2 linked regions of the Stegostoma tigrinum genome follow. The protein of the gene in region 2 binds, or shares a complex with, the protein of the main gene of each other region. Links are inferred from orthologs where the notes say so. Each region holds a gene or a part of one and is shown on either strand. Other genes may lie near its edges. The genes, in order: fzd8a and low-density lipoprotein receptor-related protein 5-like.

Region 1 (12,371 bases), on a different chromosome or scaffold from region 2:
CCTGGCATTGTGAGGCAGCAGTGTTAACCACCAAGCCTCCATACCACCCTTGTGTAGAAAGTGAGTACTGAGGTAGGTGGAGGGTTAAGAAATGAAATGGAACAAACTGAATGGTTTGCAACAATATGGAAGATAGGAGTGATTATGTGACAATTGAATGATGGTGCAAGGCAATATGGGTGGTACTGACAGTAAAAGAAAAGGAAGCCAAATATGAGTCTGGAGGAGCTAAATATGACAAAAGCAGAACAATTGCCACATCAAGTGCTATTCCAAAAAACTGAAGTAAGGTTTGCTGTTCTGTTTAATAAATGTTAAAAAATGATCAATTGTTTATTTCTCAAATACACTTAAAATCTGCAGCCGAGGATATTCACAACATGCAAACATAATTTTTGATCAAGAACATTGTGTTGTGTTCTGTAATGTTCATGAAATATGTTAAAATAGAATGAAGAACCAAAAGATAAGCTAAAATAAATAAAACGTTCCCACAATGAGTCAAAAGACTAGAAATGTTAACACAATCAGACCTGCTGAGGTTTTCTAGCAATATCTGTTTCTCAACTAAAAGATAAACTTGTACTTCTATAACGCCTTTCATGACTACACGATGTCCTAAGAGTTTTACACCAATGAAGTACTTTTAAAATGCAGTCACAGTTGTAATGAAGGAAACTTGGCAATCAGTTTTGAACACATTGAGATGTCAGGAACAACTGGGTAATAATAACCAAATAATCTGTTAGTGATGCTGGGTGAGCAGCAAATATTGAGAGAATTCCATTGTTCCTTTTGAAAGTAGTGCAATGGAATCTTCCATTTCAATATGAAACAGCAGACAAGATGATCATTTAATGACTCCAACAATGAAGTAGTTCCTTGGTATTGTATTCAAGCATCAGTAGATTCTATGCCCAAGTCTCAAGTGGGACTTATGAGACTTAAACTTTAAAGATGACTGATACAACTTGACCACAATTAACATCTAGTTAAATACTTACTAACCAGTTAATGTTAAATTCAGTGATTTTGCCTTCAGCCAACTGCCAAACTTAACTCTAGGTGAATCATTTGTTTCTTCCCATCTTCTTGCCCTGCCAATTAAGTTTTGACACATTTAGTTAACATGTGGATAGTACTATACTGTTGCAATAAATTACTTTGAAAGTTATCCAAATATGTCAAAACTTTTAGATTTCTCAAAAGCTTTCATTCATGTCCCTAAAGTGAATAGATAGTATGATGCATTTCTGTTTATTTTTTCACAGAAATTATAGAATTAGCTATTTCAAAATGGAAAGTATGTATAGTGTTTTGAGATGTGCAGGCACTGAATTCACATTAACATCTTTCCAGTCATAACTCATTTCCTTTATTGTCAACTTATCGGCATTTTCTTTTGTTAACTACTTATGTAATTGCCTGGTAATCTTGTGATTGTCTCAGATTCAATGGTCACTTTTGATTGAGCCTTCTATGTTCTAATAATATTATAAGTCAGGATTATCTGCAATATCACATGTCAGCTAAATCACCTCTTTTAGTCATTTAGTGCTCATACCAGCATAACTAATGTTAATAAAGTAATTTCACGATAGTGTTAAGAGGATTGTGAGCTCACACCTCACTCAAGGACATGAACGTCTTACTCTAGGGGAAGGGCTTTTGTGGTACAATGGTTGTATCCCAGCTTTTGAGCCAGTCAGCTTGGATTTGAGTCCTGCATGCTCTCAAGGCATGTCAGAATATGTCTGAACAAGTTAACGTATCTACAAGCAGCCAGGATGGCTCTTGTGGTGCAGTAGCTATGTCCCTATCTCTGATCCAGGAGTTCAGGGTTCAGAAGCCATTTACTTCAGAAGTGTGTAATAATCTCTCTGAACAGTTTGATTAGGGAAATATCCATAATTCTAGGGCATGTTGTTATGAGATTGTCAGATATTTTGGATGAAATATGGAAATCAAGTGTTTCCTGTAAATGCAGACGCCATAGACCCTGTGGAACAACTAAGATTTCCCCAATAAAAAAATGAATGAATGATTTATTATTACATATATCTTTAAGATATAGTGAAAAGGTGTTTTGCAGACCTGTCTTCTACATTCAAACAACACACAATTAGTAAATATTCATCCCCCAACTGTTCGTACAATCTTCCTGTAAACAAATAACTACTGTAGAGATATAAGGCACTATATATTCATTTTCTTGCTTTATTTTTGTAAAGTAGCTGACTTGTGTCATTATAAACAAGGAGGATGAGAAAACTGCTGATAAAATGTCTCTACTACAATAGGGGGTATTTCTGTGAAGACAGGAAGATAATACACATTGGGTAGAGGACAACACAGAGACTCCCTAATGCTTGATAACAAAGTGTGGAGTGGATGAACACAGCAGGCCAAGCAGCATGTTAAGAGCACAAAAGCTGACGTTTCGGGCCTAGACCCTTCATCAGAAAAGGGGGATGGGGAGAGGATTCTGAAATAAATAGGGAGAGAGGGAGAGGCAAACCAAAGGGGGATAGAGGAGAAGATAGGTGGGGAGGAGAGTATAGGTGGGGAGGTGGAGAGGGGATAGGTCAGTCCGGGGAAGACGACAGGTCAAGGGGGCGGGATGAGGTTAATAAGTAGGAAACGGTGGTGCGGCTTGAGGTGGGAGGAGGGGAAAGGTGAGAGGAAGAACAGGTTAGGGAGGCAGGCACGGGCTGGGCTGGTTTTAGGATACAGTGGGGGAAGGGAAGATTTTGAAGCTTGTGGAATCCACATTGACGCCATTGGGCTGCAGAGTTCCCAAGCAGAATATGAGTTGCTGTTCCTGCAACCTACGGGTGGCATCATTGTGGCACTGCAGGAGACCCAGGATGGAGATGTCATCTAAGGAATGGGAGGGGGAGTTGAAATGGTTCGCAACTGGGAGGTGCAGTTGTTTATTGTGAACCAAGTGTAGGTGTTCTGCAAAGTGGTCCCCAAGCCTCCGCTTAGTTTCCCCAATGTAGTGGAAGCCACAATGGGTACAGCGGATGTGCAGGTGAACATCTGCTTGATGTGGAAAGTCATCTTGGGGCCTGGGATGGGGGTGAGGGAGGAGGTGTGGAGGTGTGGAGGCAGGTGTAGCACTTTCTGCTGTGGCAGGGGAAAGTGCCGGGTGTGGTGAGGTGGGAGGGGAGTGTGGAGTGGACAAGGGAGTCGCGGACAGAGTGGTCTCTCCGGAAAGCAGACAAGAGTGGGGATGGAAAAATGCCTTTAGTGGTGGGGTCGGATTGTAGATGCCGGAAGTGTCGGAGGATGATGCGTTGTATCTGGAGGTTGGTGGGGTGGTATGTGAGGACTATGAGGATTGTCCTCCACTAGTCCTCACATACCACCTCAGCAACCTCCAGATACAACGCACCATCCTCCGACACTTCCGCCATCTACAATCCAACCCCGCCACTAAAGACGTTTTTCCATCCCCACTCTTGTCTGCCTTCTGGCAAGACCACTGTCTCTGCAACTCTCTTGTCCACTCCACATTCCCCTCCAACCCCACCACACCCGGCACTTTCCCTTGCCACCGCAGGAAGTGCTACACTTGCCCCCATACCTCCTCCCTCATCCCCATCCCAGGCCCCAAGGTGACTTCCCACATCAAGCAGATGTTCACCTGCACATCCGCCAATGCGGTATACTGTATCCGCTGTGCACGGTGTGGTTTCCTCTACATTGGAGAAACCAAGCGGAGGCTTGGGGTCTGCTTTGCAGAACACCTACGCTCAGTTCGCAATAAACAACTGCACCTCCCAGACGCGAACTATTTTAACACCCCCCTCCCATTCCTCAGACGACATGTTCATCCTGGGTCTCTTGCAGTGCCATAGTGATGCCATCTGTAAGTTGCAGGAACAGCAACTCATATTCCACTTGGGAACCCTGCAGCCCAATGGTATCAATGTGCATTTCACCAGCTTCAAAATCTCCCCTCCCCCCATGCATCCCAAAACCAGCCCAGCTCATCCCTGCGTCTCTAACCTGTTCTTCCTCTCACCTATCCCTTCCTCACACCTCAAGCCGCAGTTCCATTTCCTCCCTACTAACCTCATCCTACCCCCTTGACCTGTCCGTCCTCCCCGGACTGACCAATCCCCTCCCCACCTATACGCTCCTCTCCACCTATCTTCTCCTCTCTCCATCTTTGGTCTGCCTTCCCCCTCCCTCCCTCCCTATTTATTTCAGAATCCTCTCCCCATCCCCCTTTTCTGATGAAGAGTCTAGGCCCAAAACGTCAGCATTTGTGCTCCTAAGATGCTGTTTGGCCTGCTGTGTCCATCCAGCTCCACACTTTGTTGTCTCAGATTCTCGAGCATCTGCAGTTCCCATTATCTCTGGCTCCCTAATTCTTGTCTGCTTCACCTCAGCATGAAATCTTTCCCTTTCTCTTAGAGTCCTGACAGTGATATGTGAGGCAAAGGAGGATGTTGCAGTCGAACCTAATCGTACCATAGCCGACATCCAAAGAAAAATTTACTACCACTTAGGAGTCTCTCCCTCTCCATCACAAAGATACTGAAGCCAAATGTAGTGCTGCCTCATCTGAGCTTGCTCAGTTTAGATCATGAATTGAATCTTGGACCTTTTTGGCTGGACCATCATCTGTTTCCTGTGATAATGAATACAAAGGAAATTGGAAGATATTCTTTCTATATCACTTGGGAACCTCTCAATTCAGAATGCATTTAAACAAACGTTGCTAAACTTTAAAGGGTTCAGGTAAGATTTTCAAGGATATTGCCGGGGTTGGAAGATTTGAGCTATACAGGGGAGGCTGGATAGGCTAGGACATCTTTCCCTGGAGCATTTGCGGCTATAAAATCAGGAGGAGGGGCATGGATAAAGTAAATAGCCAAGCTCTTTTCCCCTCAGGTGTGGGAGCCCACATCCAGAATGCACAGGTTTGTGGTGAGGGGAGAAAGATTTAAAAGCAACCGAAGGGGCAACATTTCCATGTGGGGGTGCTGCATGTATGGAATGAGCTGCCAGAAGAAGTGACAACTGATACAAGCAGGTGGAGGCTAGTACAATTACAAAATTTTGAAAGGCATCTGGATAGGTATGCAAATAGGAAAAAATTAGATGGACATGGGCCAAATGCTGGCTAGTGGGACTAGGTAAGTTCAGAATATCTGATCAGCACTGACAAGTTGGACCAAAAGGTCTGTTTCTGCGCTGTATAACTATGTAATTTTAAATGAATTTGAAATGGTAAAACTGACTGGAGTTTACACTCTAAAACAGATAACTTCAGGAGTTTACTTCAGAAACACCCAAGAGTGTAGGAAACACACCACACAGCTACAACATTTCATTTAGAACAATCTTGATAACATAATATAACTTCTTAAGATTTTTCTCGTTACTAATTTTACTTGCCCTCATTATAGTTAGGTTTGTGATACTTTATATCAGAACATGACAAAAAGATTACATTGGCCATTGGTGGACTGTACCTATCTGTTGATTAAGGCATCATTTTTTTTCAAAGACACTGTCCTTAGAGCAGCCTGTATTTTTATGCAGCTTTTTATATTTCTATGATATTATGAATGAAAGCTAGTTCAAATATGATCGCTGCACTGCATCTGTAAGTAACTCCTTTATTGAAAAAATACATTCACCGGCGAATTCACTTTGCACCGAATGTCATCAGCCTATTAAAAATAAATATTTGTTAAATATAGTGCTTCGAACATTAAGTTTGGAAGGAGAGCAAACAAAGCGGAGGCGTCCAGTCTTCAGATACTTCAGTCTCTAACCCTGGTACTATTTCGGAGCTGCTACTAATGTTACTCACTGTGTAGTAACGTATATACATATGAACAGCGTGGATCCCATTAATCATGTGTAAAGGCATCACACCAGGCCATTTCACAGTATCCAAAAACATCATGTCTAAATGCTTCGCGATATTTCTGTGAGAATGAAATAGCGAAGGAGGCGTTGTGGTTCATTCAGTTGAGTTTAGGATGGGGTGTATCGGGGCAGTCTTCGGGGCGGGGGAGCGGGGGGTTGCAGAATGTGAATTGATAGAACTCGGACTGCACTTCGAGTCGAGGGACGCTCAACCCGGCTCCAAAAAAAATGCATAAACCGCGATCAAGGTCCTTGCGCTGAACTGCTTTGCACTTTCAAAAATACAGCAAGAATAAATAAACGCCAACATTAAAGTGGAGTTTTGGCCATCGCTGAAATACATAGGCGAGTGCGGGCAGTACTGAAATGTACAAAACCGGAAAAGAAGACGAAAGTTTTTATCAAAGTTTATTCGAAACGGGGCACGTCTACAATCTTAAAACTTGCTGCAGTGTCTGCCCGTTCAGACTCTTAAAGCGTAGCTAAAATGTGTTCAGTTGTAAATTCATAGCAGGACACAATCCCTCGCTCGAAACTCGTCCTATTTTCGCGCTGTTTATATTTCCCTCCACTGCAAAAAAAATCTAGCAAAATCCGCCACCTGCTCTCTTGTTACGGGACGGAAAATGCTGGAGATACTCAGCAGGACACCTCTACATTGTTCTTTATTTTTTTTTCCTTAATGCCCATCGCCTTTAACTAACTCAAGTTTCCGTTCTTAAAGATGCAGCAGTCCCACCTTCTGCGTGAGTCTCTGGTCGAATGAAACATCGGCGCTTCAATTCAAACAAAAAACCCAAACAATTCCTGTACGAGGGGGAGGGAACTTTAAAGACAGCCCCCTGCGAGGAACTAACAAGCGAAAATTAACCTGCTAAACGCCCAGCCCCTCTGGAAACTGTCACTGTGGGATTCTTCTCTGAGGCGAGAATGGATTGACAGACGCTGTGTCTCCCTCCACTCTCCCTCCGCCCCTGTCATCGTGTGATTGGTAACCCCGGCCTGGGAGGGGGTGGGATTTGGCTTTCTCACGTTATAAATATACAACAGTATTAGGTTCTCTGCGTTCGGTGATCACTTAATGCGACGCGGCGCTCGTATTTAGTCCTGGGGAATTTTGTGTGGTTTTTGTTTTGTTTTGGGGAAGGGTTGGAAGAGGAGGGCCACAACAGTCTGAAAGCAACCCACCTTCCAAGACCCAGTACAACCAGCCAAAAAAGGGAGAAGCCCTGGTCGTCTTAAAAGAAGCAAAAAAGTTAGGAGGAACTTGTGTGAAGTTTTTGTTTTGGGAGGGGTGAGGAAAAAGGTGCAGTTGTGGCCAGCTTAGTCAGACCGGCCTGCGTGAGCTGGGGAGTGGAAAGCTCATGTTTTAGTGGCTCGTCCTCTGCGTGAAGTGGACCGCAGCCCGATGCCCAGGCTGAATGTGTGTTGGCTGTTGACCCGCATGTCGTTCTGAGATCCGGACTGAGGAATTGGAGGGGGTGCAGGAGGCTGGCGGGTGCTCCTGGGGGTCGGGGTTGGGGCAAGAGGAGGAGACGGAGACAACTTGCACTTTGCAGCTGGACTCGAGGATTCTATCTTGGCGTTTGTTAAAGCGGGGGGGGGAAAGAGGAAGTTTAAGAAAAAGATAGAATCAGTGCTGGCGTGAAACAATTTTTTTCTTTCTAAACAAAATAAGAATAAAAACCAAGCCTGGAGGGTCTGAGGAGGCTGCAATGGAGTGCTGCTACCTGCTGGAGCTGCTGTTGGCCGTGGTGTTGCTGCAGAGGTCGAGCGGAGCCTCGGCCGCTAAGGAGTTGTCTTGTCAGGAGATCACCGTGCCTCTGTGCAAAGGCATCGGTTACAACTACACCTACATGCCCAACCAGTTCAACCACGACTCGCAGGACGAGGCGGGCCTGGAGGTGCATCAGTTCTGGCCGCTGGTGGAGATCCAGTGCTCGGCGGACCTGCGGTTCTTCCTGTGCAGCATGTACACGCCGATCTGCCTGGAGGACTACAAGAAACCGCTGCCGCCGTGCCGCAGCGTGTGCGAACGGGCTAAGGCCGGCTGTGCCCCCCTCATGCGGCAGTACGGCTTCGCCTGGCCGGACAGGATGAAGTGTGAGCGGCTACCCCGGCAGGGACAGCCCGAGACCCTGTGCATGGATTACAACCGGACCGAGGCGACCACGGCGGCTCCGCTCTTCCCGCACCGCCCCCGGGCCCCTCCTGCGGCGGCAGCGCCCCCGGCCGCCGCTCCCCCAGGGCCCGGGGCCAGCCGCCGGCCTGCCGTTCCACCGCAGCGGCCTCCTGCCCGCTGCGAGCCGGGCTGCCACTGCCGGGCCCCGATGGTGCCGGTGCGCAGCGAGCGCCACCCGCTCTACAACCGCGTGAGGACGGGCGAGGCGGCCAACTGCGCGGTGCCGTGCCACGACCCTTACTTCACGGCGGACGAGCGCAGCTTCACCGCCTTCTGGCTCGGCCTGTGGTCGGTGCTGTGCTTCGTCTCGACCCTGGCGACGGTCGCCACCTTCCTGATCGACATGGAGCGCTTCCAGTACCCGGAGCGGCCCATCATCTTCCTGTCCGCCTGCTACCTCTTCGTGTCGGCCGGCTACCTGGTCCGCCTGGTGGCGGGGCACGAGAGCGTGGCCTGCAGCCGCCCGGCCGCCCCCTTGGAGCCGCACGTCCACTACGAGACCACGGGGCCCGCCCTGTGCACCTTGGTCTTCCTGTTGGTGTACTTCTTCGGCATGGCGAGCTCCATCTGGTGGGTCATCCTGTCCCTCACTTGGTTCCTGGCCGCCGGCATGAAGTGGGGCAACGAGGCGATCGCCGGCTACTCCCAGTATTTCCACCTGGCCGCCTGGCTAGTGCCCAGCGTCAAGTCCATCGCCGTGTTGGCTCTCAGCTCGGTGGACGGAGACCCGGTGGCCGGCATCTGTTACGTAGGCAACCAGAACCTGAACAACCTGCGGGGCTTCGTGCTGGCCCCCTTGGTCATCTACCTGTTCATCGGTGCCATGTTCCTCCTGGCCGGCTTCGTCTCGCTGTTCCGCATCCGCAGCGTCATCCTCAAGCAAGGCGGCACCAAGACCGACAAGCTGGAGAAGCTGATGATCCGCATCGGCGTCTTCACCGTGCTCTACACCGTGCCCGCCACCATCGTGGTCGCCTGCTACTTCTACGAGCAGCACAACCGGCCGCACTGGGAGCTCACCCACAACTGCTCGTGCCTGAGCGAGCAGGAGGCCCGCCGGCCCGACTACGCCGTCTTCATGCTCAAGTACTTCATGTGCCTGCTGGTGGGCATCACCTCGGGCGTGTGGATCTGGTCAGGCAAGACCCTGGAGTCCTGGAAGGCCTTCTGGACACGCTGCTGTTGGGGCAGTAAAGGGACCGGCGGCTCCATGTACAGCGACGCCAGCACCGGACTCACCTGGAGATCTGGCACCGCCAGCTCCGTGTCTTACCCCAAACAAGTGCCGTTATCCCAAGTCTAAAACTGTGGAGCTCTCTCTCTCTCTCTCAACCCAGCGTCTTATTAAAATGTTAGTGGACATCTAATGGTATCCAGGAGTCAGAAGTGAAGGACTGACCGGAACAGTGTACCTGGCACTGATACTTCACGAATCGTAACCATTTTTATGCGCACGGCGTCCATTAGCTGTCCAGATGTGTGAGGGGAAACGAATTTCTATCGTGTCCATGACCAGAAACTTTTCAGCCAGTCGCGATTTTATGATCATTGCAAGGAGTCGATTGGTCACTTTTAATTGATGACATTTATGGAAATAATTTAAATAGAGGAATGAATGGCGTACTTGACACATTTCTTAATGGTGAAAAGCCTGGGTGCATCAACCTGCCTTAAAATCCTTTTTTTGAGTATCCCTAAGTAATACGGGTTTCATGCAAAGTTGTATTTATATAATTATTTGTACTATGAACACAAATCTGTAAATTGTGTACATAACAAAAGCGTTTTTGAGGTATATTCAGAGTATGTACATTTTTTTGTATATATATAAAAAAATTTAGTGGCTGCCTTTGCAGGAGCACCAGGAATTATTTGAAACAATTATTCTATTTTGACAATAAAACAACTTTTGATTTTTAATTACTTTTGGAACATGCTCGGCAAATCTTTTCTGGGCGGGAGGGGCAGGAGTGGGGAAGAGAAATGTGCATTTTACTGGTGGGTAGTTTGTTGAGATATCAGTTTAGGAGCAACTGAATATTTTAGTAATTGTTGAACTTTTTACCTGGCTGCCTACTGGCTGAGTACATAATTTCTTAAACGAGGCTCAATTCAATAGGGTTAATCTGTAGGAGTGAGCCTTTTGAATCGGGTAACTTTGATGTCTCGTTTCCAAGCTTGAAGTACTTTTTTTCCCCTCTCTTTCTCTCCACCACCCCCCCCCCCCCCCCTTTCATTTCTAGCCTCCCTTGTTTTCAAGGACGTCGGCCATGGTGCCTTTAAAAATGAATAAGAAGGAACGTTTCTGAGACTTAACTCGTTTAAACGGGGGGGACGAGTTGTAACAGTTAGTGAGCACGAAGGGAACGGGGAACAGTCTTTCAAACAGCTTTTTCTGCATTGTTGACCAGACTGCAGGCAGTAAGGCATAGGCCTGAACACATAGAAATGCCCATGAATGCCCTACAGGTGGTCCAGCTCGCATAATCCCCCAATTTAAGGCGCTCTCCTTTGCAAGACAATTGCATTACAAAGCCCTCTCTCTTTTTTGCTCCTAATTGAAGCAATGGGCAAGAATTATAGAATACAGGCCTTTTTAAAAAAAACTGCATGGCAATTGCCTGGACTATAGTTGCAAGCCGATCAACGAAATAGCAGCGTTGTTCAGGCGAGTGTGCGCTCCTCATGAAAGGGCATTTCACTCTTTTTAGCAGTTTGGGGAACATAAAGACAAACTATGCCCAGTACGCACGCAATTTTATGGCAGATTAGTGATAATTTAAAAGTAATTGGGAAGGCTGCGCGTTCGTACTCGGGGGGGGGGGGGGGGGGGGAGATGGGGAATTGCCCCCCGGGGGGGAGATGGGGAATTGCCCCCCGGGTCCAGCATTTGTCAATCGAGATAAGAGAGGGGACAGTTAGTCCCATCTCTCTGAGGTCAGACCAACTGATGACCAAACCATCCATCAGGCACTAATGCAAGCCAGCACTTACTGAGGGTTAATAGTATTAAGTTTAACAAGGCAATGTTAATCTGAAGTTTCCATTCTCCACTCCACCTGGATGATACGAAATTATTTCCAAAGTATTAATTTTGTGAACATAAGCTCTATGAATTCGGTTATGCACTGCACGAAGTATCACTTGCACGTTTGGCTTGTACGAAACAGATAACTTACAACTTGAAAGGGGATCATTTCTTGAATCCATGTAGAGAATTTCCAGTAAAATGTGTGGAACGTTTTTTTTTCGCCCGCGTTATTAGCATTTTTTTCGCGTTTTGTGGCGACCTGTGGAACCACCAGTGGTCGGGGCTCAGTGGGTGGCGTGTGTACGTTTTATCACTGAATTTAATCAGAAAATGTCAACAGATTCAGCAAATAAACCGGCTTGAGGATGCCAAACACGAGTCATGTTGCAGCAGCGGGAATAGAATTGGCAGGCCTCTTGATGTGGAATAAAGGATTCTTTCCCAACGTGTTTACAAAGAAACTTCCCGAACCGTCCTTTCAAAGGTCCTAGTCTCTGGGCATTGCTGTAACCCACTGCGGTTACTTTTACGGACGTCTTGTTAGTGGCTAAAACAGCGTGAAAAGCGCTTGAAAAGTTGAGTTTCAGTGTAGTTAAAAGATTGACCAGAAACGGATATGTATCTCAACTGCAAGTTTTTAACTGAATTCAGGACAAGAACATGAACGTTTGTGGAGTTACGTCCGAATGGGCCCAATACAAACCGACAGTGCCCTACATTGTTTTCTGTCTGCAGATTAGAATAAAGAAACTGGACACACCTCAAGTCTTTGCAATGGATTTGTGAACACGTTCAGTTTATCTCTCGTTTTATTCTCCTGGTCTACAAAGATCTTACATTTTCACAAATGCATATTGCAAGGCTCCACAAGAATGGTAGATTGCCGAAGTAAAAAGGTTGAAAATATTTCTCCTGTCACTCCACTCAAAAACGGGGTGAATAAAAACTGAAAGAACTGCTGTAAATCGGAAACAAAAACAGAAATTTCTGGAAAAGATCAGCAGATCTGGCAGCATCAGCTGTGCGCCGATGCTACCAGACCTGTTGAGCTTTTCCAGAAATTTCTGTTTCTTTTTGTTGAAAAAGAAACAGCGGTTTGGCGGAGCAATCTTTCACGTCAGCGGCGGGGTGATTTCCGAACCTACGTCCCAACGAAGACCAACCCCAGTATTTACATTCCTTTAGCGACTTGGCTGGACGGAATTAGTTGGTGCAATGTAGGGAATCTTGGGAATGGAGCCTTTGACAAAGTCGAGGTCCGTCCCA
Region 2 (13,319 bases):
TCTCTGCTACAGATAAGAGTGTCAATACCCCTGACTCTGCCGTCTCCTACTTCCACTACAATCCTTTTTACAATCCTGTCCAGGATGACTTCTTGTACCATGGTGCCATGGCTCATGAACTCACCCAAACTGCTGTCCTCCCTCTCACCCAGACAAGTGCAGAAAACCTCAAACCTATTAAACAATTACAAAGGCTTAAAATACTGTTGTCTAGGTTCCCTTAAATATCGCACTTAGTTACACGCTCCTTTCCCTGAATACGGACTCAAACAGAAGACCCCGTCCAAAAGAGCTCCTGGATCCTGGAAACCTTCTCCCTCTCTGATGATCCTCAATGCCTGTGGCTCTGAGCCAAAGATTCTGAAGCCACAAGGGCTTACTGCAAATAGTTGATCACACTGGCATCTAGAAGCTGTCATATTCTGCAATCTAGCACATGAGCTGTGCTGCCAATGTGTGAATTATGAGCTGCAGCTAACTAATTAACTTATGATTAATACAACCAACACCGCCCAAAAGCAGTGACAGTAAACTTCAGAACACAATACTTACAATATTGATAAAACTCAACAGTTTTTAATACCTGTTAATCATTTACCTGCTCCTTCTGCAGCATGAAATTAAAAATCAAATGCTGGAGATTGAAAAGAAATAGAGTAGCAGAAGAAAATGCCCCTCTTTTCTAGCCTTCACTAAACTCCTCGCTTGACACACTTCTTGCAATAAACTGTAAATGAAACATCTCTTTCCCCAATTCAGATGATTCCCAGTTTGAAACCAAATTCCCAGTTAAGCACACTTGGTTCTGAAAAAGGATCAGTGGACCCAAAACAAGACTAACTCTGCTTTGTCTTCATTGATGCTGCCAGACCTGTTGCAGTTTTCCAGCAATTTCTGTTCCTGTTTTCTAATTTCAAGCATCCGGGGTTCTTTGGTTCTTTTTGCTACTTGATTGTTGTCTCACTTCTCCATTGGGCTGACTGTCAATATTCCCTCTAAGATGCATGGTTGCATGTGCATACAGCCACTCTGAGGGGGTACACACAGTGATGAGTGTCAGCATGCGAGTGCAGCATTGACTGGAAGTCATTGCTGTGCACTGACCTCAGAAATCCATGCTGAGTAAAATGAAATACTGGCAGAAATGCTATTGACCATGTTCCCTCAATATCTAACTGTTGCCCTGCTGCTGTAAAATGTGTCTTATGATATCAACACCTGTCAAACAAAGCATTTTATTATAGAAAATTATAGAGATAAAAATAATAAATTTGCCTACCACAAAAAAAATCACTTTTTCTTTTCAAAGATGGCGAGTATCGGGACAGCATATCAGGGTATATAAGTCAAGTGTATCAAGTGAAGTATAGTGCTGACAGCGATTGGTGTAATTTAAAGTACAGTATGTGAAGCATGCTAATTTAGGTTTAGTTTTCCATTTAACTTATTGGAAACAGTATATTAAACATGCAAAGTGACAACACTATAATGTAACAACACATTAATTTTGCACCTGTTAGAAATTATAATTATAATAGTTTGAATAGATCAGCTATTAAAGTATTAATCCTTTATCAATTTCAGTTAGAAACATCTGTCAGCTGTTTACACTGTAAGCATTAGTTTCAGTAAATCTTGCATTGACAATATTTAACTGCAAGCTGTAAACAAAACCAGAGTTGTGCTGTCAAATGTACACGAAGTATTCTGCACGTGTTTCAATACTTCTACCACCTGTAAATAAAACAAATCTTCAGATAAAGTGCAGATGGAGAAGCTATTATCTCTGTCAATAAGTGATTCTGGTGTCAGATGTACTTGCAAGGAAAATATGAACAGCTGATCTGTCTGAAGTGATCATAACCATATCAATCAAAACTCACAATAAGAAAAAGTCAAAATTTGAGGCAGTCACAAAAAAATGAAAGAAACAGCATTCCTTTCTTCTTTGAGTTTCTTAATTTAAATTTCTGAAGCACAGTAAATCATTTGTACACTTTTAAATAGACTCCAACAGATGCAAAATGTTCAAAGCAGCTGCTACGCAACATAATTTCAAGTGCAAGGGGCCTATAATTTTCTACGTGTCGTAACTGAAAAAGAAAAGTATCCCCATTTATAAACATCTTTTGTGATACAAAAATCAGAAGACATAACAGGGCCTTAAAAAGGTGATCATTGTTAGAAATGCCTTTTTATTGCCACTTCTTCCTGTCACAAAAATCATGCTCCTATGTGTCAGCTTAGATGCCAGTTTTGTTTTACATTGGTGGTTAGGCTTTTTTTAAAAATCTCTTGAACTTATCAACAAGAATATTCAAAGTTGTTTTTAACATAAACGCAGAAGAACATTAGATATTTTTTCCTATGCAACACATTAAACAAAATCAGAACCCTGTTTCTCAATGATGAGCTTATTAAACTGACATGTATGAAAATTTTGCAGTGCTCTCAGCAAACAACCTTTGCTCTCTGTTTCCAAACTCTGTGCTGCTCCAACTCCAGCCTTTTGCACAGTGTCTATTTTAGAAGCTTTACCACAACTGTCTATACTTTCAAAGGCCCTAAAGTATTCATCCACAAACATCTAACCCTTTCTACCTCTCTCTCTCATTGCTTAAAATCTATCAATTCCACCAAGCTTTTAGTTGTCCATCATAATTTCTCCTTATAAATATTATATGTCAAATATTTTTAACAATCCAGGTAGAAGCAGCTTTACCATGTTAAAAGCACTGTTTAGATGCAAGTTACTATTACATAGTTTTATAAACTCATGCTTAAATTGGAGAGGCAATAAAAAGCTTCTAAATGATGAACAATATTGGAACAGTAAAATCTAGTCACAGGTATTATATTCTGGGAGAACAAGTCAGTTGTGATGAGAAGAAAGAGTCTTTACTTTCCATGAGAACCTAAGCAACATTTCACCGAGCATTAAAAGCAGGAAAATGGTGCAAGAACACAGTGCACCTCAACAGATGATTTTTGTTCACAGGCAAAGTCCACGGTCATCTTTGTCACGAAATATGACATCATAAGTTCAGCTGCTTTGTCACATCCCTTCCTTCCTCTTCCTCACCAGGCCAAAACTTCCTTGAAGCCTTTCCTCTTTAGTGGATGAGAACTCACAGTTTTCTTCTTGTTCTTCATGCCTTCTCCGAATGCCCGTTATCCATGAGATGCAATTGCCATTCTTTTGATCCTAATCCCACTACACTACAGTCCATATTCCTGGCCTTAACACACCCTGACATTGAAACGAAATCGACAAATACTGGAGATTACAGCAGGTCAGACAGCATCCATGGAGAGCGAGAGCAAGTTTACATTTCGAATCTCAATGACTCTCCATTTGCTGGTTTCTATTAATTACATATTTATTAGCTTAGCATTTTTGACTTTTGCATGAAGTTCTGTTTACTGTTCTAACAACTCATCTTTCTGAAACATGCTCACTGGCCTCTCCGAGAATAGAAAATGTTACATATGCACACCCATGTGAAAAGGTTGGCCACCCTTGATCAAAAAAATGGAATTCTTCCTCCACCCTTGTCTGAAATGAAAGGCTCGTTATTTTAAAACTGTGTCCCAGATATCATACGATGATGGAACTTTATGGGTCTTTATTGTTTTCAGATTAAGGTGACTGATTCTTTTAATATAACCTGATGGCTGAAATTTTAATCTTTACAAGAACCTGCAAAAACCTTAATATACAACAAAAATGTTAAATATTAACCAACTACATTTGGACACACACTTTGAAGAGGCTTAACAGAAAAAATAAATGTTGCGTCAGTGAACCTACCAGCTACCCTAAGCCATCACTTTCCAATATTGCAAAAAAAGATAATAACAAACTCATCTGATTTAAAATTTTCTAAAGTGTACTAAGGAATTGGATCGCAGATCATGCACATGATCTTAGTAGGATATACAATGGTATATTAATGCCTTGTAATGAGCTCAAATTGGCCAAAACTGTTATTTGAATCAGCGTTAGTTTATCTCCTCGAATTTGTACCTTGCAAAACCTATCCTTTTTTTAAAAAATTCAACATATTCACTACCTCACCAGATTTCTTGGGGGGAGAAAAGGCTGCAGGTTTCCAGCTCTGTGTTAGATGATATCCATTAATCAATTTAGTTCAGTTCGAAACGGGCAACTTCTTGAAGCTGTACATTTTCCAATTTCTCGAACAAAAACATCATGCACACATTTAAACAAGTAAATTAGTTGATTTCACTAACCCAAATTATTTGCTAGCAGTAACATTTGGCTGATGTTTGTATTGCATTGATTACGAGTTCATATTGATCGCGTCTTCGATGTTGACAAACTTAGCAGTGCACGGGGAAGTGACATCTAACACCACGTCTCAAACTCTTGCTTTTGTGACCTTAATGTATTTTGTTTTCCAAATACACTTTTCATACAGACATCCGATTTCAATTTACCAACGGCACACTTTTGCATTGTACGTTCCAAAATCTAGAAAGCCCAATCGAAGAAGTGGAGTCTAGACTGAAAAGATATTTTATGTAGGACACGACAATTCGCCTTCCAATTCCACCCCCCCCCCCCCCAAAAATAATCTTTGCTACGACAGGGCTGTGAAGAGTATTCTGTCAGAAAACACATCCAACAGTGGGTCGTCTTCAAATCCCTACTTACTACAAGTCACACGGCACGGGCCAACAACAGCGCGGAGCCCACGGTCCGATCGTAGATAACAAACAAGCAGTGACCGTCCACCTTCCCCACAACCCACACCTACCTGTTGCAAACAAGTAGTGGCTAAAAGCGATCAACGTTAATAACAAAGTCTCCATTTGTAGCTGAATGAAGAAGTGAAAATGTTTCACTCAGGCCCCATAGTTACCATGTATCACCATACAGACAGTGCCGATCCACCTACAGCCTGCCTGTCTGCCCTGTCTCCAGTACTTTCCCGGCTGGTTCCCTTCTCTCTCTGTCTGTCTGTCTGTCTACCGCCCACCCCCCAAACCTCCACCGGCGACGACCGAACAGTCGCCAGCGGAAGGCCGGGGACACCCCTACTTCTGATTGACAGCTCCCCTTAACAAATCAGCAGAGCGCCTCTGCACGTTCAGCCTTTGATGTTGCCAAATTATGAAGCACCTCCGGACCAATGAGAAGCGGGAAGTGGCGGGTCCTACCCAAAGAATGGAAGTCAGGCTGAGTTGAAGAATTCTTGCATTTGGATCAGTGCCATAGGACTTTCGAAAGTGTGTTGGTTCAAGTACAGCGCATAGCCATCACTGCTAAGTTTTCTGGACGTGGTTTTGTCATTGTTTTATGGACCTCAGTCTGCAGGCGTGTGTTCAAAATCGTGCAGCAGCGGTGTTCATTTTCTCCCTGAGTAAACAGCTTTCTCTGATGCCGAAAGCATGAACATAAAAATCCCACTGCTGTGAATATTGCTGCTTGTAAAGAACTGGCGGCAAAGGTTTCAGATTCTGTACAAAATCGCGTTTCCAAAACTTAGCCAGGTTCCCGTGCGGTTCCCCTTGAAATGCAAAAAATACTGCCACCATTTGGTATTGAGGGAAACAGCAAAGGACCTTTGTTTTTATGAGTTGCACCTCATGACTTAATTCACGGATCCCTTTTCCTGTAATTCCATTGAACGTGGAATAGAGTAAATATGGTTATTTTCGTTGACTACCCCGGAAAACTTTAAACAATGTTAATTTTATGCCTAGCGGCCCTTTGCCAAAAAATCCCTGAAGCATGGATTCGCCCAAACCTTACCAATCGAAACGTTCAAATGAGGGCGACTCAACTTACACTTGTATTGTTAATTGTGTTTGATTTTGGAGAGCTGGAGATCTGAAATAAAAGTTTGATTGGGTCGGTATCCGTGGCTTCACGGAAACATGCATTTAAATTGTGTACGTAGCCATGAGGCTATGCAGCCCACAAAGACCCAATGTCATGTCTGTCCGGGCGCCCTTGTTTTACATGTTTTAGTATTGATATGCCGATCAGTTTTTCACTCTTTTGGAAGTGGGTTTCGCTGGCTAGCCATTTATTGCCCATCCCTAGTTACCTTGAGAAGGTGGCGGTGAGTTGCCTTCTGGAGCTACACCTTATTTAGGTAGACCTGCAGTGCTGTAAACAGTGTTGAAAATGATCATGTTTTCTTTTAAAACATTTAACAGAACGGTGTTTGAGTATCAATTACATCGGAGTATCTTGTGATTGACTTTGAGATGCAGCAATATAAGATCAGGTGTTTTCTGTCTCGGGAAATGTAAAACTACATTTTGTAGTGCCATAGGTTCTTTTTCTCAGGCTTTCTTGCTTCAGACCTGTAGTTGTACAACTTTTGATGTGTGCATTAGTAGACACCATCCTATTTTCTCCTCACGGAGGAAAGCAGCTCAACTTTAGTTGAGATTAGGAACCTGCACTGTGAGAAGTCAGGGATAGTGATCAGGGAAATAAGACATTCCTGACATGAAATGATCATCAATAATGTCACTGTTACTTTTATCTAACCATGAAAAAAGTTGGTGAACCAGACTCCGTCTACGTTTTTAGATTTGTTCTGGGGATGTAGGCATTGCTAGCAAGGGCAGGATTTGATAGCCAACCCTGATTTTTTTTAAATGAAGGAGAGCTATCTTCTTGAAACTTGTGATTTGGGTGGAAAAAGATTTGCATAAGGCAGAATATGCTTGAGGGACTTGATGGTCTACTGCTGTTCTGCTATTGCTACATGAAGCTGTGGATCAGCTACATGCGGTGAGAACATCTTGGCTGACATTAGTGCTATCAATAATTAAGGATGGAGTTCCATCACCAAGAGCTATAAGCCCAGTTAGAGGGCTAGCAATTTGGCAGCAGTACTTGTGGCTATTGCTCAGGTGGCAGCTCCAGCTCCATAACCAGGCTCTTTGAAGGGGTTGGGCTTTGTTCAGGAAGCCGGACTTATGATGTGATTTTGGCGGGGGAAGGGAGGGTCAAATGGATACTGTGCTTGTGGCAAAAGGCAGGCTCAGGGATGCTCACTGCCGCAGGCAACTTTTCCCCATGTGCCAGTAGGCCTTACTGACCCAGGCAAAATGGTCACAGAGACGTGGCGTGGCCTTCAGGTGACAGTTGATGACTTAAATAGTTTATTTGAACTCCCCAGTAATATGCCACTTTTCCAACCAGTGACAAGTGGCATGGCAAGGGGAAGACAACCCTTCTCCTGCTTTCCACATCAATTTGACAGCCTGCTTACTTCATGACCTTGAGAACTTTATGATCACTGACTCTGGCAGATAGGTCTTAAAAGAGAAATTAGCAAGAGCAGGCAGAAGTAGTTAAAATAATCCCCAAGTCCAGTAAAATGGTCTGCTACTGTGCTGAAATGTAATTTGTTCAATATCCTGTACTATTGTATTAAAGTCTTTTAGATACAGCAGATTCACTTAGTTAAATGTTTCTCAAAAAATGTAATGAGAGCTTAGCAATTCCTATTCAGCTTTGTTTTGCAAGGTGTTTTCCAAGCTGACTCTCAAAGTCTGGACAGACATGTGGGAATGCAATTACTACTTGTATTGAGAGAATGTTTTTAACAGAACAAAACACCCCAGGCACATTATGTGAGCATTATCAGGATGTGAATAGTTGTATTACGAAAGGGTGCTATTCTTACTCAGTTTTGGATTTGGCAATTTTGACACTACCATAAATGTTAGAGTCTCACATTGGTCAGAAAAATGACAAGGGCCATTAAACCTGAGAAAGTATCAAACTTTAGCCACAAATATATTTAATTTTGAAGAAAATATTGCAATGAAAGTCCTCCTTTGCTTCATTTCTTGTTTCATGGCCTTTCTGGACCATCTTTAATATCCCAGGAAGAACGACTTGTGCGAAGTATACAAAGTGTACTCGACCCTCTGACTTCTATACTCCTGTAAATGAGCCAACTTGTGCTCCAAATGCTGCAAAATTAATAACTTTGTACTTCATAGGTCCTCAAATGCTGGTTAAGTGAGCTATATGAGGTTATAGTTGATCTGCACCCATGTCCATTAGTATGAATTTGAAAGCCCAAAGCAGAAATCTGGGTAGCCTGTTAATGATGCCTTGATGAGATTCGGAAATATTGTGAGCAAGTATTGTTCGAGGAAATGGATAAAAGACTGATAGATCAGTCCACTTGATGCGAGATCAATTATTAATTTTTACTTGAGTTAGATAGATAGGTTCTTGTTGCCGAAAGGAATTGAGAGATATGGGTGAAGATAAATATGTGAAGTTTGGTTGCAGAATTATAACCTAATTAAATGATGAGCATGTTCAAGAGACTAAATGGTCTATTCTCCTGCCTATGTTATAAGCTGTGGAAAAGATTAACCTAAACTGCAACATTTGAGTTTAAGGATGTAATTATTTCAAACTCTAATGAATCATGAGACCTTAACATGATACTAGCAGATGTTTGAGTATGAAATAAATGCTGAATTAGATTGAGAAAAATAAAACTCAAACTCAAATTAGTGTCAGAGGGGAAAGAAAGTGTGAATTGTACAAAAGTGAATAGCCACTAGCACAGTAGTAAAAATACAGCTCCAGATCAGGATGTTGATGATGTCATAGAAATATTTGAAGTTTAAACATAAGTGCAGATTGACATTCCAGATGGTTTTTTCTAAAAGGCAGCAGTGAAGGCAAAAGGATTGGCTTCATCGTGTGCCGAGTAGGGATAGATTCAGATTTGTTTAATAGGATCAATGTTGATTCAGTGGAACAACAACACAAGAATGGGACGAGGCAGCAATATGTGTAAGACCTGTAAATGACCATATGAGTTCACTATGTGCGGAACTTATGGAATATTCAGTCACTGGGGAGAAATGTACAGAACAAATAACATGATGCATGGGCTACTAGAGGCAAAGCAGCAGGATAAATGAGAAAGAAAAGAAACCAAAACACTAATACCTGAGAAGGTGGCTGTAAATTTGAGAAGACGATGATTGGAACCATACAAATGCATGAAACAGTCCTGAGAGAAATTAAATTTAAATAACCATTCAGATCAGGAAGAGGGTGAGAAACACTCATAACTGTAAACCTGAAGCTTGAAACTAGAACCTAGAGTATGTTATCCCATTCAAATTACATCAGATTAATTTCTCTAAACAGTTTAAAGTAACGAGTTGCACAAGGGAAGATGCTCTGAAACAAAGCAACATCATCTGAACAGCTGATTAAGGAATTTGAGATTTGACAGGAACAACTCAAATAATAGGGAATCACAACAGATGTTAACTGCACGTTTTATATCTCAGAGACAAATGATCCTACGTTCTTACAATTGAGTAATTGCAAAGCACTGCAGTTAATCTCAGTAAACCATAAGAAGGGCGGCACGGTGGCTCAGTGGTTAGTACTGCAGCCTCACAGTGCCAGGGACCCAGGTTCGATTCCAGCCTCGGGTAACTGTCTGTGCGAAGTTTGCACATTCTCCCCATGCCTGTGTGGGTTTCCTCCGGGTACTCCGGTTTCCTCCCACAGTCCAAAGATGTGCAGGCTAGGTGGATCAGCCACGCTAAATTGCCTGTCGTGTTCAGGGGTGGGTTATAGGGGGATGGGTTGGAGTGGGATGCTCCAAGGGGCGGTGTAGACTTGTTGGGCCGAAGGGCCTGTTTCCACACTGTAGGGAATGTAATTTAATCCAGTAAGAAGGAAACTTCTCTGAATGTTGAAGGTAAGATATTCATTCCAAACCACACTGTCATCAGAAGCAAGATGGTTCTTGAGTTACAGAGCCTCGGTAATACCTGATGCAAAGCCAAATACATTGGTTGAAGTTAGACATTGGCATTCTCAATATTGTTGTTGAAAGACACAAAGCATTTTTGATTGAGGGAAAAGGACAAATTCAGTAAGTCAGACAGCGAAAGAACAAGATTTTCAAAAGCTCCAGCAGTATAGTCACTAACCTGGAAACATTAAAAACTGAACAGAACATAATATGGCATGTTGAAAAGGGCCAAATGAGGGAGAAAGTGCTTTCTGTACAGTTAGCAGGAGGCATACAAGAGGGAGATTCTGAACCTCAGTCCAAAATGGTCAACATATCAAATAGAACTTGGAAAAAATTAAGAATAATATTGTTGTGTTCAGACAGCAAATTAGCAAACTGTGGATGCAGTTTCAAACTATGTCAGAATTGAAAAATGATTTAATTGGAAATTAGTGTCAAACCACAAAATGTGCTAAAAATATTTAAGGGTGCAAATACAAATGCGTCAAACCAAACAGAACAAGCACAGTAGGAAGCTGAAAACAGTCGAAAGAAAGGTACATAGAGTGATTAGAAGGGAAACCGAAGCTCCTGAATCATCACAATGAGCTCGAAGAGAAGTACTGACTGGTCCAAGACCAACTGCAACCTGCTGCTTTGGCTCAGAAGATGAGGAACAATATTATATCAACTAAGTGATAATATGAATAATGTATTTTGCAAAAACAAATGTAATTGAGTTTTATAACTACATTTACAGAAACCAAGACATCTTTCTTTATGGATAGAGTTTATTTACTACAGCTCCTTAACACACCAGTATTTTCTTATCAAGCTGGTCAGAGATATTTGACGCATCTCTGGACCAGATGGGACTTCAATCTGAGTATCCTAGCTCAGAGGTGGGGACACATCCACTGCACCTAGAGAGCAGCTACATTCTTCATTTACATCTACCCAAGCAATTAAGGAAGAAATCAGCCCTAGTAACCTGTTCTACTGTTGGCTATATCATTAAATGCTTCTGTTTAAATAAAAATCTTTGAAATCGGTGTTTGTAAACAGTTAGTTTAACTAGAGACCTGGGTGATTTGGAAGAATGGAATAGAAGAGTAGAACAACAAAAAGGAGGAGGAAAAGAAAACAAAAGGAGAAAAAAATTTAATAACTCTTTGAAGACATTCAGACATTTCTTAAATAAAAACAATGATACAAAACAATTTTTAAAAATTATTCCATATACCAACTTTTCATAATCCACCTTTTATACAAAATAGATGCTTAACCACAAAATAATCCAAACAAAAACTGATTTTTGTTTCTTCATTTGCTTGTAATTCCTCATACTATCATGCTACCCTCTCCAAAGATCTCCAGTAATTTCTTAGAGCAAGCAACTTCTTCATTTAATTGGCTGACAACAGAAGAGATGCATTAGTCTCTTTATTTTGGAAATCTTTTCTTTATGGCCATAAGAAAAGGTATGACAAAGCCAATCTTTAATTCTTTGTCAAATGTTCACTATCTCAAAGAGAATGGTTATCCACGTAAAATTCCATGGGCAAACCTTTCTCAGAGTGCCCTTATCTGGGATTTCCTTTAAAGTATTGGATAAATAGACCTGCGTATCTATAGTTTCTGCTACTGCCAATGTTACAGCAACTAAATTATATTGAACGTGCGTTTTAGCTTCTTGGTTTCCTAGACCAACAGACATTTGTTATTGTTGTCCATCAAGTATATGATAGCCCTTGTTGTACTTAAATAGCTATCCTAAAAGTTGCCATGTGTAACATCACTAAAAAGGAATAGCTTTATGTCTTTTGGGGTCATCCAAGGCTTCAAAGCACGATTGTGTATTTTTCTGAATTTAATCCCTTTATAATATTTTATTTGCTCTTAAGACTCCTGAAATTAGCATATTTTATCACAGTTATCAATTCCCATACTGCATTAACTGGCATCCAATCTAGTCCTAGTTGCAACCAGTTTAACTGTCCAATCAAACTTCTTAGCCAGAGATAGTAGGAACTGCCAATGCTGGAGAATCTGAGATGACAAGGTGTAGAGCTGGATGAACACAGTAGGCCAAGCAGCATCTGAGGAGCACGAAAGCTGACATTTCGGGTCTTCAGAAAAGGCCCTTCTGAAGAAAGGTCCAGACCCAAAATGTCAGCTTTCCTAGTCCTCTGATGCTGCTTGGCCTGCTGTGTTCATCCAGCTCTATACCTTTTTATCTCAAACTTCTTAGCCAGGATCCTTTCTGGATGCAAAAGCACATTTCTGTGAAATACTGGCCCCATTTATCTGAATGCCATTAACCATTTTAAAAGATTGATTTGTCTTTTACTAAAAACTTTTCATCTTAAAAAACATTTTCACATTTGTTAGTGTAAGTTTCAATCTAAGATTTTAGAGTAGATTTGTAGCTCAGGTCGTGGATGTTGTGGTTGGTTGGCTTGTTGAGCTTGTTCATTGTTTTTCCGCAGACATTTCATTACCCTGCTGGGTAACATCATCAGTGCAGTCTCCGATGAAGCGCTGTTGTGTTTTCCCGCCTGTTATTTGAACTCTAGAGTCCATTGAGCTGGATTACCCCACTTCCAGTTTTCTTTTGCAGTGGAGTGTAAATGGGGTCGAGCTCTATGTGTTTGTTGATGGCTTTCATCGTGGAGTACCAGGCTTCGAGGAATTCCCATGATTGTTTCTGCTTTGCTAGTCCCATGGTCTTGGGTGTTGTCCCAATCAAATTGGTGGTTCTCCTTATCCACGTGGATGAATAACAACATCCCACTGCAGCAGCACAGAGTGACTCCAAGAAGAAGAAGAGCACCTTTTCCAGGTATCAAAGTCAATGGATATCCAAAAAACTGGGTCAAAAGATGCCCATTACATGAACAACACCAAGAAGATACTACACGCCACAACACACTCATCACGCTACCTCACATCAGGAACACATCTGAACTGACCACAAGACTCCCACGACCACTAGGCCCAGGGTAGCACACAAACCCACATCAACTGTACGACAACTGCTCACACAAACCAAAGACCCACGACCAACTCTGGACAGGATCAATGTCATATACAAGATTCCCTGCAGAGACTGTGACAAACACTACATTAGACAAACAGGAAGGAAATTAAAAACAAGGGCACATAAACATCAATTGGCTGCAAAAAGACACGATCAATACTCACTCATCTCCATCCACATGGATATGGAGAACCACCAATTCGACTGGGACAACACCAAGATCCATGGGACAAGCAATGCAGAGACAAGCACAGGAGTTCCTAGAAGCCTGGTATTCCATGAAGAAAGCCAACAACAAACACATAAGGCTCGACCCCATTTACACTCCGCTGCAAAGGAAAACCGGACATGAGGTAATCCAGCTCAACGGACTCCAGAGTTCAAATAACAGGCAGGAAAACACAACAGCGCTTCATCAGAGGCTGCACTGATGATGTTACCCTGGGTAATGAAATGTCTGTGGAAAATCAACGAACCAACTCGGTGAGCCAACCAACCAC

What was found.
Region 1: low-density lipoprotein receptor-related protein 5-like (region 2) and fzd8a share a complex: the UniProt entries of both Homo sapiens proteins name them as parts of the wnt-signaling complex. The link is inferred for Stegostoma tigrinum from reciprocal best matches to the Homo sapiens genes LRP5 and FZD8.

The regions. Positions count from the first base shown.
Region 1 is NC_081355.1:131,099,054-131,111,424, reverse strand, and holds fzd8a (frizzled-8a), read left to right. Parts: upstream 1-6,949; 5' UTR 6,950-7,607; coding exon 7,608-9,377; 3' UTR 9,378-9,398; downstream 9,399-12,371. UniProt on the Homo sapiens protein: Receptor for Wnt proteins. Component of the Wnt-Fzd-LRP5-LRP6 complex that triggers beta-catenin signaling through inducing aggregation of receptor-ligand complexes into ribosome-sized signalosomes.
Region 2 is NC_081370.1:25,819,350-25,832,668, reverse strand, and holds the start of low-density lipoprotein receptor-related protein 5-like, read right to left. Parts: upstream 5,050-13,319; 5' UTR 4,837-5,049; coding exon 4,782-4,836; intron 1-4,781. UniProt on the Homo sapiens protein: Acts as a coreceptor with members of the frizzled family of seven-transmembrane spanning receptors to transduce signal by Wnt proteins.